Drosophila melanogaster: one gene and its partners. The protein of the gene in region 1 purifies or fractionates together with the protein of each later gene. This does not show direct contact. Each region holds a gene or a part of one and is shown in the gene's direction. Other genes may lie near its edges.

Region 1 (3,952 bases):
CCGCAATTACAAGAAAACCGCCACATAAACAAAGTCACAAAACGAAACAGCAACAATGATCAACACTTAAAAAAATAAATAAAATGTTTCTTGTTTGTTTTACCAAAACTTTTTATTTCCGAAAGTTACAAAACTAAGCTGCTAGTATAAATATTATAAAAGTTTCACAATTGGCAATATAATGCGGTAATGCGGAGCTCTTGAATAAAACTTGCGTTTTTCTTACAGTGCATAACAAGTGCAAAAACTTGTGAACTTGTTTTCTTAATACGAAACCAAACCGAAGCAAAAACAACGTACAGAGAGCGCTTATTGTTATTGATAGTGGGAGAAAATCTAAAAGCACACATAGCAAATCAATATTTGCACTTTGCGATTAGAAGCGCTTGGAGGGGGTTGAGTGGGCGGTGGGTGGGTGGTGGTCGGGGGATGTACCCGAACGATTCGTTTACATATTTCGAAAAGACGGCCATTTCGAGGGAGTTTCAGCCGTTATCAATAGGCGGAAATACGTATACGCATGTACGAATGGGTAATACAGTTACGTGCAGTCTTGCACAGACACACGAACACCAATGTGCAGTGCGAGTGCGAAAGAGACACGTAATGGCTGTGTTAACGGCACAAGATAAAAACCAGCTACAGCCAGCGTGGGTGCGAGCGAGAGGGAGGGAGAGAGCGCAAGAGAGAGAGAGAGAGAGAGCAAAAAACAGGTGACATTGGCAGCTACGCAATAGTAGATAAAAAATATCCATACATATATAAAAACAACCGAGATCGATTGAAAATGTGAAACGTTGGGAAACTTGGTATGGCCCCTCCCCCTTAAAAAACGCATTCACAACTTGTTGCCCGTTTGGAAATGTGTTTATTTATTGCTTTTATTTGGTGCACTAGGTGATCTGCATGTGTGCGAGTTGTTTTTCACAATTTGTTATTTGCACACAGAGCAGATCCACCCACACCTGTGCACTTCCCAATTGTATGTGGATGTGTGCGTGAGCAGAAGAAGCAAAATCCACAGATTTACAATTTGCATCCTTACCGAATAAGTTAAATTCTTGACTTTTCCAATGTTCCTTTGTTGCTCCGCTCTTTTTGTCGTTTGTTCTTTGACATTCAAATTGTGATTTCGATATTTTGGTGCTTTTCAATCTGAATCTTTTCCACTTTTGCCCCTTCGATTTCCTCGTTGGCTTTGTTTTCGTTTTTCTTTTCTCACACACTCACAACTACACACACAGTTCACGCAAAAGCTCCGCTTTGTTTTAATTTAGTTATTTATTTTATTTTTCGCAGTAAACTTAATTAAATGTATTTTTCACGTCGCTCTTTTCGCGATCACAAAACAGCAGTGTGACCATAAAAGGTGGGTTGAAAAGCCCGAAAGGTTTTGGGTTAAAATTACCAAATCGAGAAATACCAAATTTTTAAGACTTTCATTTCCTTGTTTTTTTTTTTTTAATCTACAAAAGTATTAATTTAACAATCAAAGTCTATTAAATATTTTTGAATAGTCAAATATTAATGTGTATTAAGTTTTTGTTTAAAAATATATATGTTATTCTTTTTTCTTTTCATTTAAGCTACAAATAATTCAAAGAATTATTTCTCAAGCTAGCGTTAGGCGCCAAGACCGTTTGTTTTCTTTAATTTATGGTATTTTTTGAAATACCACTGACTTATGTAGTGTTGCGTGGCGAAGTGGTGTTTCAGTGTTGTGAAGCGCCGTAAGTCCGTTTGATTTCCGATTCGGCATTCGAAATTGTTTTCCCTTAATTTTCGTGTCGAATACAAGATTTCTGGAAATGAAGACTGTGCCGAAAAAGAAGGAAACGGCCCTGCGCTTGCGGGAGTCGCGCCGTGAGGAGCAGAAACCAGAGACGACAAACCTGCCGCCGGACGACGACGCAGAGTCGGATTTGCCCATTCGGGGCCGTCCCTCGAAGAAGCTGCTCATCCAGCAGCAACAGCAGCGTCAGTACCAGGTAAAGCTAGATCCGAAAGTCAAGACGGTCACGTCGGGCTCTAGCGAGAAGCCTTCGACATCCTCGAGTGCAGCCGCAGCCGGCGCCGGAGGACGCATCAAGGCCAGGAGAGTGCTCTACAAGAAGAGCGTTGGAGCAGCGGCAGTCGCCCAGAAGGCGCCCGGCGAGACCTACGTAATGCGCCTGTTTGAGCGAAGTTTGGACCTGTCCAAATACCAGGATAAGACTCCTTTGTACCCCATATGCCGCGCATGGATGGCAAATCAACCCAAGAATCCAGCTGTGGGTGCATTTCAAACAGATGCTTCACTCACGGCCACCAAACGTGAGGACAACGGCGAAGAAATCCTGTCCCAAATTAAAAGCGGCGAGATAAAGGTGATCAACCAGCTCCCGCAGGCCAAGTCCACGGATCTGCCCATAATTCCGCCTCGTCTGGAGTTCAGCCAGGAGGACAAGAAGCGGGAAAAGGCTCTCCAAGGTGCCAGTACCTCCGATCTTCTGTCCTCCAATATGAACCGCTGGAAGAAAGTGCGCGGACACTGGATAAAGCATATCAAGAAGTATGAAAAGGAGCGATATGAAGTTATTGACAAGATTATGAGCTTGGTCTGCAAAAACTGAAGCGTATCTAGGTGATTTTGGAAGTGGTATAGAAAATGAAAAATAATTTGGATTAATTGTGCACAAAGAATTAAAAAAAATCCTGTTTCCAAATCGAATATATATGCAAATAAGATGCTTGTACACTTTATATACTTATATAAAATAAAATCAAATTTGTCAAGTAGACCACTTCAAGTCTATCAAGAGAATGATAAAGCGTTTTTATATTTGCATATTTTCCTGATTAAAAAATAATATGAAATGCATTTGTATTGCAGCACGGAAAGGCAACCGCAGCTGATTTGATTGGATTATCCCAAGATTTTTGATAAGAAAGACATTTGTCATTGACTTGAATAAATGTTTATTTGTATTGGTAGAAGATGCGTTCCCTTTGCGGTTAAATTAGTTCTAGTTTAGAGCTGTGTATGAAGTTATCATTATTATTTTGGGTTGGCAAATGCTGCTGGATTGTTCTGGTTCCGATTATGATGTTCTTCGGCTCGTCGCCGGTGCGCCGGTCCGCAACCCCCTGCGATTTGGTTTGGGGTATACACATTGGGCATCCTGTGCGCCTATTCGACCTTGAGCAGCTCGACGTCGAAGGTGAGGGTGGAGTTGGGCGGAATGACGCCGGGGTGGCCACGGCTACCGTAGGCATAGTCCGGCGAGCAAATCAGCTTGGCGCGCTGGCCGACGCTCAACTGGGCAACTCCCTCATCCCAGCCACGGATGACCTCGCCCTTGCCGATGGTGAACTTGAATGGCTTGTTGCGGTCGCGCGACGAATCGAACTGCGTGGAATTCAAGGCGGATCATTAGCTGGGGATGGCGAGGATCGGGATTCGTACTCACCTTGGTGCCATCGTCCAGGGTGCCGGTGTAGTGGACCGTGACCTTTTGGCCATTCTTGGGATAGGTGCTGCCTGCGGGCGGGGAATGCAAAAATGGATGTGTGTGAGCGGGACGACCATATTGTCGCAGGTATTTCCGAATTGTGCATTGCGAAAATGCACTAAATAGGTTAGAAAGGCCGGTAGTTTACGGCATTTCTTGCGGATTCTAACCCAATCATTGGATACTCACCATCACCAGGAGCAATTGGAACTACTTGTACGCCCATTTCGATTAGTTTTTTTCTGGCAAATTACCGAGCGGAAAATAAGCACGTTGATTTCAGTTCGTCGCGTCGCCGAATGACAGCTAGCGGTGGGCGATGGTCGGTGAGCGGAAACTATCGCACACATCAATTTGATTAATTATCAAAACCAATTGCTTTCCGAGTTATCGATAAGGACGTTTTTGTATTTTGGCGCGTCCGTTTGAATTGTTTACTATGAACCGAAAGAATAAAGCAG
Region 2 (5,329 bases), on another chromosome or scaffold:
CAGCAGCAATGTTATAAAACTCTGGCAGAAAGCCGTACTTCTTCCAGACCCCAATGTACCGTGATATGGTGCGCAAGGCCGGCTCCGTGTCGCCAATAATGCTCAGGATGCCGGGCCAAAACGCCTCCAGGGACTGAAAGACGGGAAGGGTGACGCGGCCTTTGTTCATGCCTACCCACACGTACCAGTCCTCCTTCCGCATGTACTTATCAATGGCCGCGCGAGCCTCATGGAATAACTCCAAGAGTTCTGGGCGATTGAGCAGGACAGATGCCTTAACTAGGTATTCAAAAAGGGAATCCACTCCTGCTCCGATACCAGAGTCGAGGGCGGTCCAACGACCGCTCTGCACGTCGATGTGATTGCCAAAAAGTCCAATGGGCGAGCGATATGCCCATAGAGCATGTACCGCCTTCATAGCAACATCCTCGTAGATGGTTTTCCCGGTCAACCGGCTAAGGGTACCAAATTCGATGAGGAATGTCCCCACGCCCGCCGTACAGGTTATAGAGGTCTCGCCCTTGGGCACGCCATAGCGCAGGTTCACCGTGCCATAAGGCATACCCGTGTTCGTGACGAAGGCTGGCAATAATCGTCGGGCCACATCCTCCGCCAGTCGCAGCAGAGGTCCCTTGCAGGGCCATCCTGGCTCTAGCTCTACGCCAGCACGCTTGGAGAGCAGATGCGCGGACAGCAGCCCGCCCACGATGCGGATGTTTGTCTCGAACACGGACACGTTGATGTCCCTGTCAAAATCCATCTTCTCCTCGAGCAGTCTTGCCGCGCGGCGGAATTCCGTGAAGTTGCCCATGGTGGCCAGCGTGTCCAGAGCGTCGATCAGTGTCAAGGAGTAGCTGCCCCAGGTGTCGTGGCCATCGCAGGTCAGCGGACGCAGTTCATCGTAGTTGGAGGCGTGGCGCAGGTAACCATCGTAGGCGTGCTGGAACATGCGCCGCACATCCTCCCTGCAGATTCATTGCCGGTTAGGATTAGTATGTCCGAGTTTAGCCCTAGCAATGACCCACCTCAGTTCCAACTTTCTTGCCTTGGAATACTGCTTCTGGCCGCTGACACCGGTGGACAGCAGGACGAGGAGGACCGCGCAGATGAGGGTGCCCGGATAGCCGTTGTTTCGGGGTTTTTGCTGCATCGTGGGACAGTCAATCAATCAGGGCCGCTAATTCAATTATGGGCATGGTCAGTGTTCCATAGCCAGCGTGGATGTGGGATGTGTGGAAGTCAAATGCGGCTACGTTGACGCAAAATCACAACAAGGGCTGATTCGGCGGTGGCATCGACCGCCGAATGCCCTACTAATTCCGTTCGGTGAGTGTTTTTTTATAGAGCGCTTAGAGTAGCAAACGGGGGAAAGAACACAAGCCAAAGAGCTTTTTTAAGGTAACAACCAAACACTATAGGCTAGCAAACACTGTATTCTCCGCCAATTCTGAAGTACGTTAATTTTACCCAACAAAATCCCTAGCAATAGGATATGTCATTCCGTAGGGTGCAATCAGCTGTTGCTGATCGAATAACTATCGAAAGGGTGGTCAGATCGAATTTGCATGGTGGTCATTGCTTGTTAAAGGAATACAACAGCTCAGAATAGCCGTAAAATCAGCGCGGCAATATTAAAGTCGGGTTGGAAAAATTAAATGGCAATTTCTTTAAGAATTCAAAAAGTTTGTGATGACAAATATACCGATTGTTTGTCACTGCTTTGCGCGGCACACGTTCCTTTATACTTTTATTCGCGTCGAGTTGGCAGCACATACCAGTTTTTTTTGTGGCCATTCAAAAGTGTGTGTTCGTACGGGTAAAAAGTGATTTAAATTCAAAATATTCAGCGAAACGACCGCCTCCAATAGAAGCAACTGTACCCTATGGTAAGTAACTGCCCTCTGCACCCGTTTCACACCCGGACATCCTCCGGATGAGCTGACCAAGAAATCCGCAGCCTTTGTTACGCTTCCGACTGCGAATTGCAGTTCTGGCGATGGGCAGCGATGTGTTTCGGTTTTGAATCATTCTCCGCGTAAAAAAAACTCAGAAAGAGGGTCGACTATAACCTCGCGGAGTAACTGCATCACGGCCCGTGTGCCTTTTGTACTCCGCGTAAGGCGATCGTTTAAATGCAATCGCGTATGCTTAATTGTCCGTTGGGCGAAAAGTAACAACATTGTGGGTCTATACATGCGGGATTGCCTCTGGCTGACCAGAAACCACATTGAAACCATCCCGTTGACCGTAGATATAAGCGTGTGCCATTTGGGATCTGGAAATCGTGTTTCCACCCAGTTGTTTGCATATTTATAAACAATTAAAGAAAAATATTAAATTTTTTGGTCAGGGCTGTCGCCCCTCGCATGGCATCGATAGAAGAGCGTCCGGAGCTGCGGTTGCAACCCTATCCGCTCACGCAAATCTATCGAAAAATTTTACTCCACGGTCGATTTTCGTTGCTTTTTTTTCACACTCGTGTAAAAAAAAAGGAAATAGCTAAGTAAATCGAAAGTACAGTGCAGTGTTTTGATCCCGTGGAGTGCATGTTCCAGCGGAAAGTGTGTGCAACAAATATGAGCAGTTCGCAAAAGTGGCGAGCAAAAGCAATAACAAAGTAGCAACAGCAACGCAACGTGTGTGTGTTGTAAGCAATCTGTACAGCGGAAAGGTGTTGGTGTGTTGGTGTGCTCGGGGGGTGGTGTGCGTTTCGCCCGTCCCGTGTCCATAAATTAGAATCAAATCGAATCGAAATCGACATTGAAGTCCGCTGCTCCGCCACCGCGATGTCCGTCGACCAGGATCAATAAGCAGCGTCACCACCAGTAGCGGACCATCATTAAGTTCTCCATATCGAGAGCAGGCTGACTCGGAATCGAACTCGGATTCGGAATTGGAATTGGAATTGGCATCGGAATCGGAATCCATAGCGGAGGAATCACGCGCGGCAGCCAGCCCAATACGGAAAACTGCTGAAAAATGTTAGATAAATGCCCAGTTATCTACAATTATTATGGCTTGTCCCTGTGTGCGTGTCCAGGTGTGAGGGTGTGTGTGTTTGTGTGCGATAGCAGAAGCAAAATCCGCTCAAATTGCGATGCCAAATAGTCGGCCAATTAATTGATCTTTCAATTGGCGACATCAGGCGCCCTCCCATATACCCAGCTCCGCACGAAACCCGATATATATCCGCGGATTGAGTCTCTGCTTTTGCCGCACATATGTATTGTATAACCCTTGTTTATCTTTGGACAATCCGAGGTGGAGTGGAGTACAGTGGAGGCTGGCCAAGTTGGACACATGTGCCGATAAGGTGGCGTGTGCTGGAACGAGTGTCCCCTGTAATGCGGTCTTATCTGAAGAGCTTTGCAGGTCACTCCGACTGACAAATTCACCTGCAAGCTAGGAGGGGAAAGCCCTGTGAAGAACTCTCTAACACGATAAAGTCATATTCCTGATTGATACAACTATAACACACAGAAATCACTATCAGACCAGAGAACCAGCTCGCAAGACCCAAGACTGTAGCTATACCAAATAATCTATCCATAAAAATAGGAAGTTCTTATCTTATCACATACTCTAGGTAAAGATTTAAGATGGATCTCTATAAATACTTTTGAATTTACAACCCAATTTGTTATGCTTCTCCTGTAAGTGGCCCAAAAATCGTCAGTTAAGCATATGAAAAGTCTCGACAATGTGGCTGCACTTTGTTCCTTTAATTGTTCTTATATTGTTTACAAATTGCATAAGCTGTAAATGTAAACTTTGCTTAGTTCGATTTCGCTTATTCCCGAAGTCTGTTTAAACATTCAACAGGAAATGAGAAACTGAGCTTGTTTATAAAACGTTAGGCAACATTACCCCTTTTGCCATTCATCTTTTCCATTAAGAACGCCATATAAATTCAGTTTTCAATTTACATCGTACAGCTGTGGGTTGTAGAGCACTATTAGCTGCTAGGAAAGCAGGTTGAATAAAATGATGATGAGAAATCACAGAATTCGAAGGACCTTGGGTGAGTCACTGACTAGCAGCTTTCACTGCACCATCCACGCACTCAAAGCCGACCACAACTGGAGTTCATACACACACAGGGGCCACCATAAATAATTCGCATCCACTAGGTGGAAGTGAGCAAATGTTTACTCAATAACTATTCTTGCAGAGCCCGCAGTCGCAGCAAAGCAACGATTACCAGCGACACGAGCAGGGAGCAGAAGGAAGCCGGCGGAGGAGGAGAAGAAGGAGAGCCACCGCACAGATTGGGTAAAGCGCACCACCATGGTGAGTACCAATCTGGTGGTACCCGTGGTGCTGTGGGGTCCCACCGCGCCCACGCACTGCATCTCTAGCGTGTTCCTCTCGGACGATCAGTTTACCCTGGTCACCGGCTGCTACGATGGACAGATCTGCCTTTGGCAAGTGGAGCCCACCACCCTGAAGATGTCGCCGCGGTGCCTCTTGGTGGGCCATTCGGCGCCCGTTTTGTGCTTAGTGCGTGCCTCGCTTCTGCCGGAGAACAACTTCCTGGTCAGCTCGTCTGAGAACGGAGAGATGTGCACCTGGGATCTTACGGACGGCAAGTGCATGGAGGCGGTCAAGCTTCCACAGGTGCACACCCAAATTCAGAGCTACCACACCGCCAACAGCGAGGATGTGCGCCTCTTTTGCATTGGCTACTATGCTGAAATCATGGTCATGGATCCGTTCAGCCTAGAGGTGATCTACGTGCTCAGCTCAAAGGTCAAACCGGATTGGATATCCGCTATTCACGTACTGCGCCCCATGCGTCGCAAGGATGACGTAGTGTTGGCCATCACCACCACCGGAACCGTGAAGGTCTGGACTCTGACGGGTAACGAGAACAAACACGCGGAGCCCATTTACGAGAACGAATCCAAGGAGATCCGCTGCCTGAATGCCATCACCATGAATTGCTGCGCCCAGAACCAGCGCACAGTGCTCTTAGTTTGTACCAAATACTGGCAGATCTACGATGCCGGCGACTTCACTGTACTCTGCTCCGTAATTGCTCCCGCAAGGGAACGTTGGCAGGGCGGCGACTTCATCACCTCCGACCGGGTAATGCTATGGACAGATGAGGGAAAGGGCTACTTGTACAAGCTGCCCGCAAACTGCATTCCCGACAACAAGGAGTTCCACTCGAAGAGTGTGGTCAGGGATGCACCTTACCTCTACTACGTGTTGCAACACGCCGGTGATAAGGTGCTGTCGTGCCCCCCAGCCATGAAGTTGCTTCAGGGCGCCGGTGGCCAGCACAATCTACTGCGCGGAGACTCCGAGGGATACATCTCTGTCTGGA
Region 3 (4,393 bases), on another chromosome or scaffold:
TCCGACCTTTTTGCAATCGTTTGCAATCGATAATGCGCACCACGATAAGATCCTGTAAAGTGCCTTTTAACATTTCGAAAACCGAAGATTCCGAATTTCCAACGTAATGCCGATTATTTAGTGGGTTTTAGCCTTCTAAAGTGCATGTACCCGTGGTTATATTTAAGTTAAGACCTTGTCGAGTGCACTCTGAGTTTTTCTTTTTTGTTTTTTTTTTTTTTGTGGCTGGGGGATGTGAAGGGAAGGGAAAGGAAATCAATCGGAACGCAAATAAACAATCGAAATTTCGGGCGCGTGCTATCTGCCGAGCGTCCGGGTTTTTTCGACTACGTAACAACGGGCGGGCTGCAGTGGAAAATTTTCTAGCTGGGTCGCCCGCCTGCTGCGCACTTTCACCTCCCCCGCCCCGCCCCCCCACAAACACTACATGGAAAAGAAACGGAAGAAACGCCAACGGATTGGTGATTGGCAGAGGGGGCAGTGAGGCTGTCTGCCTTGGCTTGGTTAACAAAGCTCACCTTTCTGATCGCCTTGGAATCGCCGGCTCTGGTGGGAATCAACGTGTTGTCCAGGTCAAAGTAAAAGGCCCTGATTTTCGCACATGTCGCATCGAAATGTGAATGTGTGGCTGTCAATTGCTTGCCGCAATGGAATTTGCTAGCTGCCATGAGAGTCGTCGAGCGGAGGGGGGGATGGAGGGTCAGCGAGGGGTCACTGTCAGGAGTGGAGGGGTGGTAGCCGGTTGCTTGGTTAGATGGATGGATGCAAACGTAGAGATCCAAGAACAACTTTGGTGCAATTCAATCCGCCAGCGGATTTGCGCTTTGAAATTGGCGCCAAACGAAACGAAACGAAATGTACGAGCTGCACGACTGCAGCAGCACTGCAGTATTTTTCTATTTTCCTCGAGCGGACTGGCAAAAGTTTCCGCTTCTCGCGCGGCGAAGTTAAAACGGCAACTGAATGACAGCGACAAAAAAAATAATGAAACGGAACGGGAGCGGTCGCAGTAATGTCGAGAGACGGGGTAGCGGGGCGGCGGAACAGGTGAGCGCGTGTGTATGAGTGCTTGTTGACTGAGTGAGAGCGGAGCAGCGAATGAAAAACCGAAAGAAAGTGCGAGGGCGCATGGGAAAACAGTGGTGGCCAAAAGTCTGCGTATGCGAACAGTGCTACCAGGCGGCGGCGCCAATTGATAAAAACTTGATAAGATATTGTTATTCCTTAAGATTTTATATTATTATTAAGATGTTCTTGAATAAGTTTATTTCAATAACTGGTTAGACATCCGTGTTGTGTTGTTCTGGACAACTACTGCGCAGCACATGTGCTTTTTACGGGCACATATTTTTTGGCGCCACTGTGCGAAGTGTGCCAAGTGCCGTTTGCGCGCCAGAGCGAACGAGAGCAGGCGACCTAGCGCAGAGTTGTCTCTATGCGCCGTTAAACGACCGTGAGTGGAAAAGAGAGCACGATAGAGGTCGCGGAGAGGTTCGCGTTTCTCTGCTACGACGCCTGCTCTCCACTCTGAATTTAGTATAAGTCGAGGCACGCTCATTTCCTAATTGTTGTGCCATTTATTTTTAACTTCTATTAATAAAACCAGGAAAAGCAATAACAACAGTTCTTTGTTTACCAAAAATATCAGTTGTTTTATACTTCCTGGTGCTTTCTAGCACTGGCTTGGCGGTAAATCGATAGTATTCGATAGTGATTGTTGAAAGTGGCAACGCTATAGTTTTTGTTTAACGAGGTGGCAAGTGATTAGCCCACGGATTTTTTGGCATCTTTCCGTGTTTATTTTCAATAGTTTTTGGAGTTTTTCAACATTATCCGCGATGAGCAACGCAGAGACAACTACGGATTTGCTTTCTACAGGTGAGTAAATATTTAAATCACATGAAAGGCGCCATAAAACGAGGTTTTCTTGCAGAAACCATTCTAAAAGCGGCGGACGAGGAAGTGGAGAAGGCTTCAGCGTCCAGCAGTAGTACGTTATTGGCCGAAAAGGATGTCCCGGAGGTCAAGGAGCGGCCCATAACGCCGGAAGACGAGCTCATCTCCATGGAAACTCTGCGACCCTCACCTGTCCAATGGCCAGAGCGTTGTAAGTGTAGAAAACGTGAGCACGAAGAAATTGGCGCCATTTTTAACGCATATCTTTATTTTCGATTGCTCCAGTTCCCGGAATGGACGAGTTCCTCTCCATGAGCGACACGCCGATGTACACGCGCAGCACCAACTACACCAGCAATCTGACCGATGATGATATGGTTAAGATTAATGGTAAGTAGCTGCAAAGTCAATGAGATTTAAGAATAGTATATTAAAGAATAGCATATCCATTACCTACTTTTCTATTCCAGAACTAGCCCAGCTCCCTCCCGAGGATCTGATCGATAAAATAAAGTCAATGCATGATGAAATTTACCAGCTGGGACTGCGTGAGGCAATGGAGATGACTCGTGGGAAACTGCTGGGCATCTTTGACCGGGATCGCGCTCCTAAGCGGCAGCCATGAGGCTGGATGATCCGATCCCTAAGAATGGGACTGTCGAGGATCTCGTTGAATTCGCATTAGGAACATAGGTGTAGTTTCATAGTGTACATAGTGCTATTTTTATAGTGAGTAATGCGTGTTGTGAATGATTTATCGCTATTTTACAAAGATAAATAGGCAGGCGTTTGAACAGTAACTAACGTTTATTTCCATTAAAGCATTTTGGGTCCTACACGTCGCTTGTATTACAGATACATTTGAGGAGTCGGAGGAGAGATGAAGTTGACGGATTGGAGGGAAAGGAATGCAGAAGGATCTGGAGTTTTTGGAGAAGGCACAGTAGATTTCGCTATGCAGGGACATTAACGCAACAAATAACTCTGTCTATGTGGGATTGGATGGATCGGTTGCGCTCTAGTGCGTCCTATTAATACTTAACTAAATGCTTTCGTTCGGATTTATGCAGTAGCCTTCCCCACGATCCATCCCAATTTGGGAAAGTGTGTTGGTGCTGATGGTGTGCTTACATGCTGTTTCCCGTGAATATATATCCAGTAACGTGCATCAATTCCCATTACTCCTGCCACTGCATTCCGAATCGCTGCTCAAAGGTGATCCGGTTAAAGACGCCCGCATCGGCCAGCTGCAAGGGATCGGTGTAGTACGCAAAACGCCGTATATCCAGCATGGCCAGGTCGAACATTTGCTTCCAGCTGGTCAAATCTGTAACGCTCATGTGGATCGGCAGCTGGGGATCCGGTATATCGATGGCCGCCTGCAGACGGTCAAACGCCTCGGCAATTGGTCCCACCGATAGATTAACCCAGTACTCCGCTGGAAAGCGCTTGTTCTCACAAAACGGCGCTCCCTTGCGCATGATGAAGACCAGCATGAGTATCTCATAGCGCTCGGAGCTCTCATAGAAGCGCTTGGTTCGGGTCTTCTCCACGAAATCGATGAGAAGGATCAGGGGAGTGTAGTTCTGGAGGTGCATCAACAGCTCCCGGTCGGTCCAAAGGTAACGGCCGCCTTTGACGGTCAGCAGGCTCATGTTGCTGGCGAGTTGTTGATGCTGCTGCTGCTGCTGTTGCTGCTGCAGCTGGTGGTGTTGCTGCTGCTGAAGGTGTTGCTGTTGCTGCTGCTGATGTTGGTGTTGCTGCTGCTGTTGCTGCTGGTGTTGCTGGTGCTGCTGCTGCTGGTGTTGCTGCTGCTGGTGCTGCTGGTGTTGCTGCTGCTGATGCTGCTGGTGAATGCCGCCGGCGGATGGGGCTGGAGTTCCGGTGTTGGATGCCACCTGGCTGGGCATGGCGACCACAATGCCCGTCTGTCTCTGGCAGCCAATCTCCTCCACCATGTGCGCTGCAATGACGACAAAATGCATTTAAGGCAAGTGCCTAAACCAGGCCAAGGTCGCTGCGTTGGCCAAACACCCAGCCACCCCCTGCCCGCCCTCATTATTACTTGTTGCAAATAGCGAGCAGCGAAGAGCGAACGTGCAGCAAGTCAAAGGCTATGGCAATTGCAATTGCAATCAACTTACTGCGTGCCCCAATCAAAGCGGCAGAAATTATGTGTGTATTTATGAGGCGGATGGATCAGCGGGTCTGGATTTGGATCGGGGTACGAATGTGGCCCCCAAGAAGCAGCGGCCTATCTCCTCCGGCAGCTCTGCGTGTTTGCCGTGCGCCCTGGACGATTGTTGCCACGCGAGTGCCTTCCCAAGTCCGAAGTCGGAGCCACTCGGACCCGCATTCTCGTTGCACTCGGGCTCAGTTTTCTCGGTGACTCGGTCGCGCCAGCCGATGGGCATGTGTGGATGTGCATATAGGGACTCGGCCCGTTTGGCAATGAACTTATTGGATGCGTTCTGCGCTGGCTGCGGTTCGCAGATTT

What was found. The genes of interacting proteins can lie anywhere in the genome.
Region 2: the proteins of mip40 (region 1) and mip130 purify together in Drosophila melanogaster (affinity purification with western blotting; 3 studies listed by BioGRID, with this or other methods). This does not show direct contact.
Region 3: the proteins of mip40 (region 1) and lin-52 purify together in Drosophila melanogaster (affinity purification with western blotting; 2 studies listed by BioGRID, with this or other methods). This does not show direct contact.

Annotation. Positions count from the first base shown.
Region 1 is NT_033778.4:19,289,954-19,293,905, reverse strand, and holds mip40 (Myb-interacting protein 40), read left to right. Parts: upstream 1-1,709; 5' UTR 1,710-1,808; coding exon 1,809-2,612; 3' UTR 2,613-2,801; downstream 2,802-3,952. Other genes in the region: Fkbp12 (FK506-binding protein 12kD), read right to left, coding at 3,170-3,388, 3,450-3,520, 3,681-3,717.
Region 2 is NC_004354.4:1,906,470-1,911,798, forward strand, and holds the start of mip130 (Myb-interacting protein 130), read left to right. Parts: upstream 1-1,769; 5' UTR 1,770-1,883; coding exon 1,884-1,886; exon of another isoform or gene 1,887-2,358; intron 2,359-2,450; exon of another isoform or gene 2,451-2,981; intron 2,982-4,171; exon of another isoform or gene 4,172-4,287; coding exon of another isoform or gene 4,288-5,329. Other genes in the region: Edem1 (ER degradation enhancer, mannosidase alpha-like 1), read right to left, coding at 1-965, 1,026-1,150; Rbcn-3B (Rabconnectin-3B), read left to right, coding at 4,288-5,329.
Region 3 is NC_004354.4:5,752,330-5,756,722, reverse strand, and holds lin-52 (lin-52), read left to right. Parts: upstream 1-1,764; 5' UTR 1,765-1,838; coding exon 1,839-1,878; intron 1,879-1,933; coding exon 1,934-2,107; intron 2,108-2,181; coding exon 2,182-2,286; intron 2,287-2,366; coding exon 2,367-2,521; 3' UTR 2,522-3,074; downstream 3,075-4,393. Other genes in the region: CG15771 (uncharacterized protein), read right to left, coding at 519-668; CG15772 (uncharacterized protein), read right to left, coding at 3,075-3,854.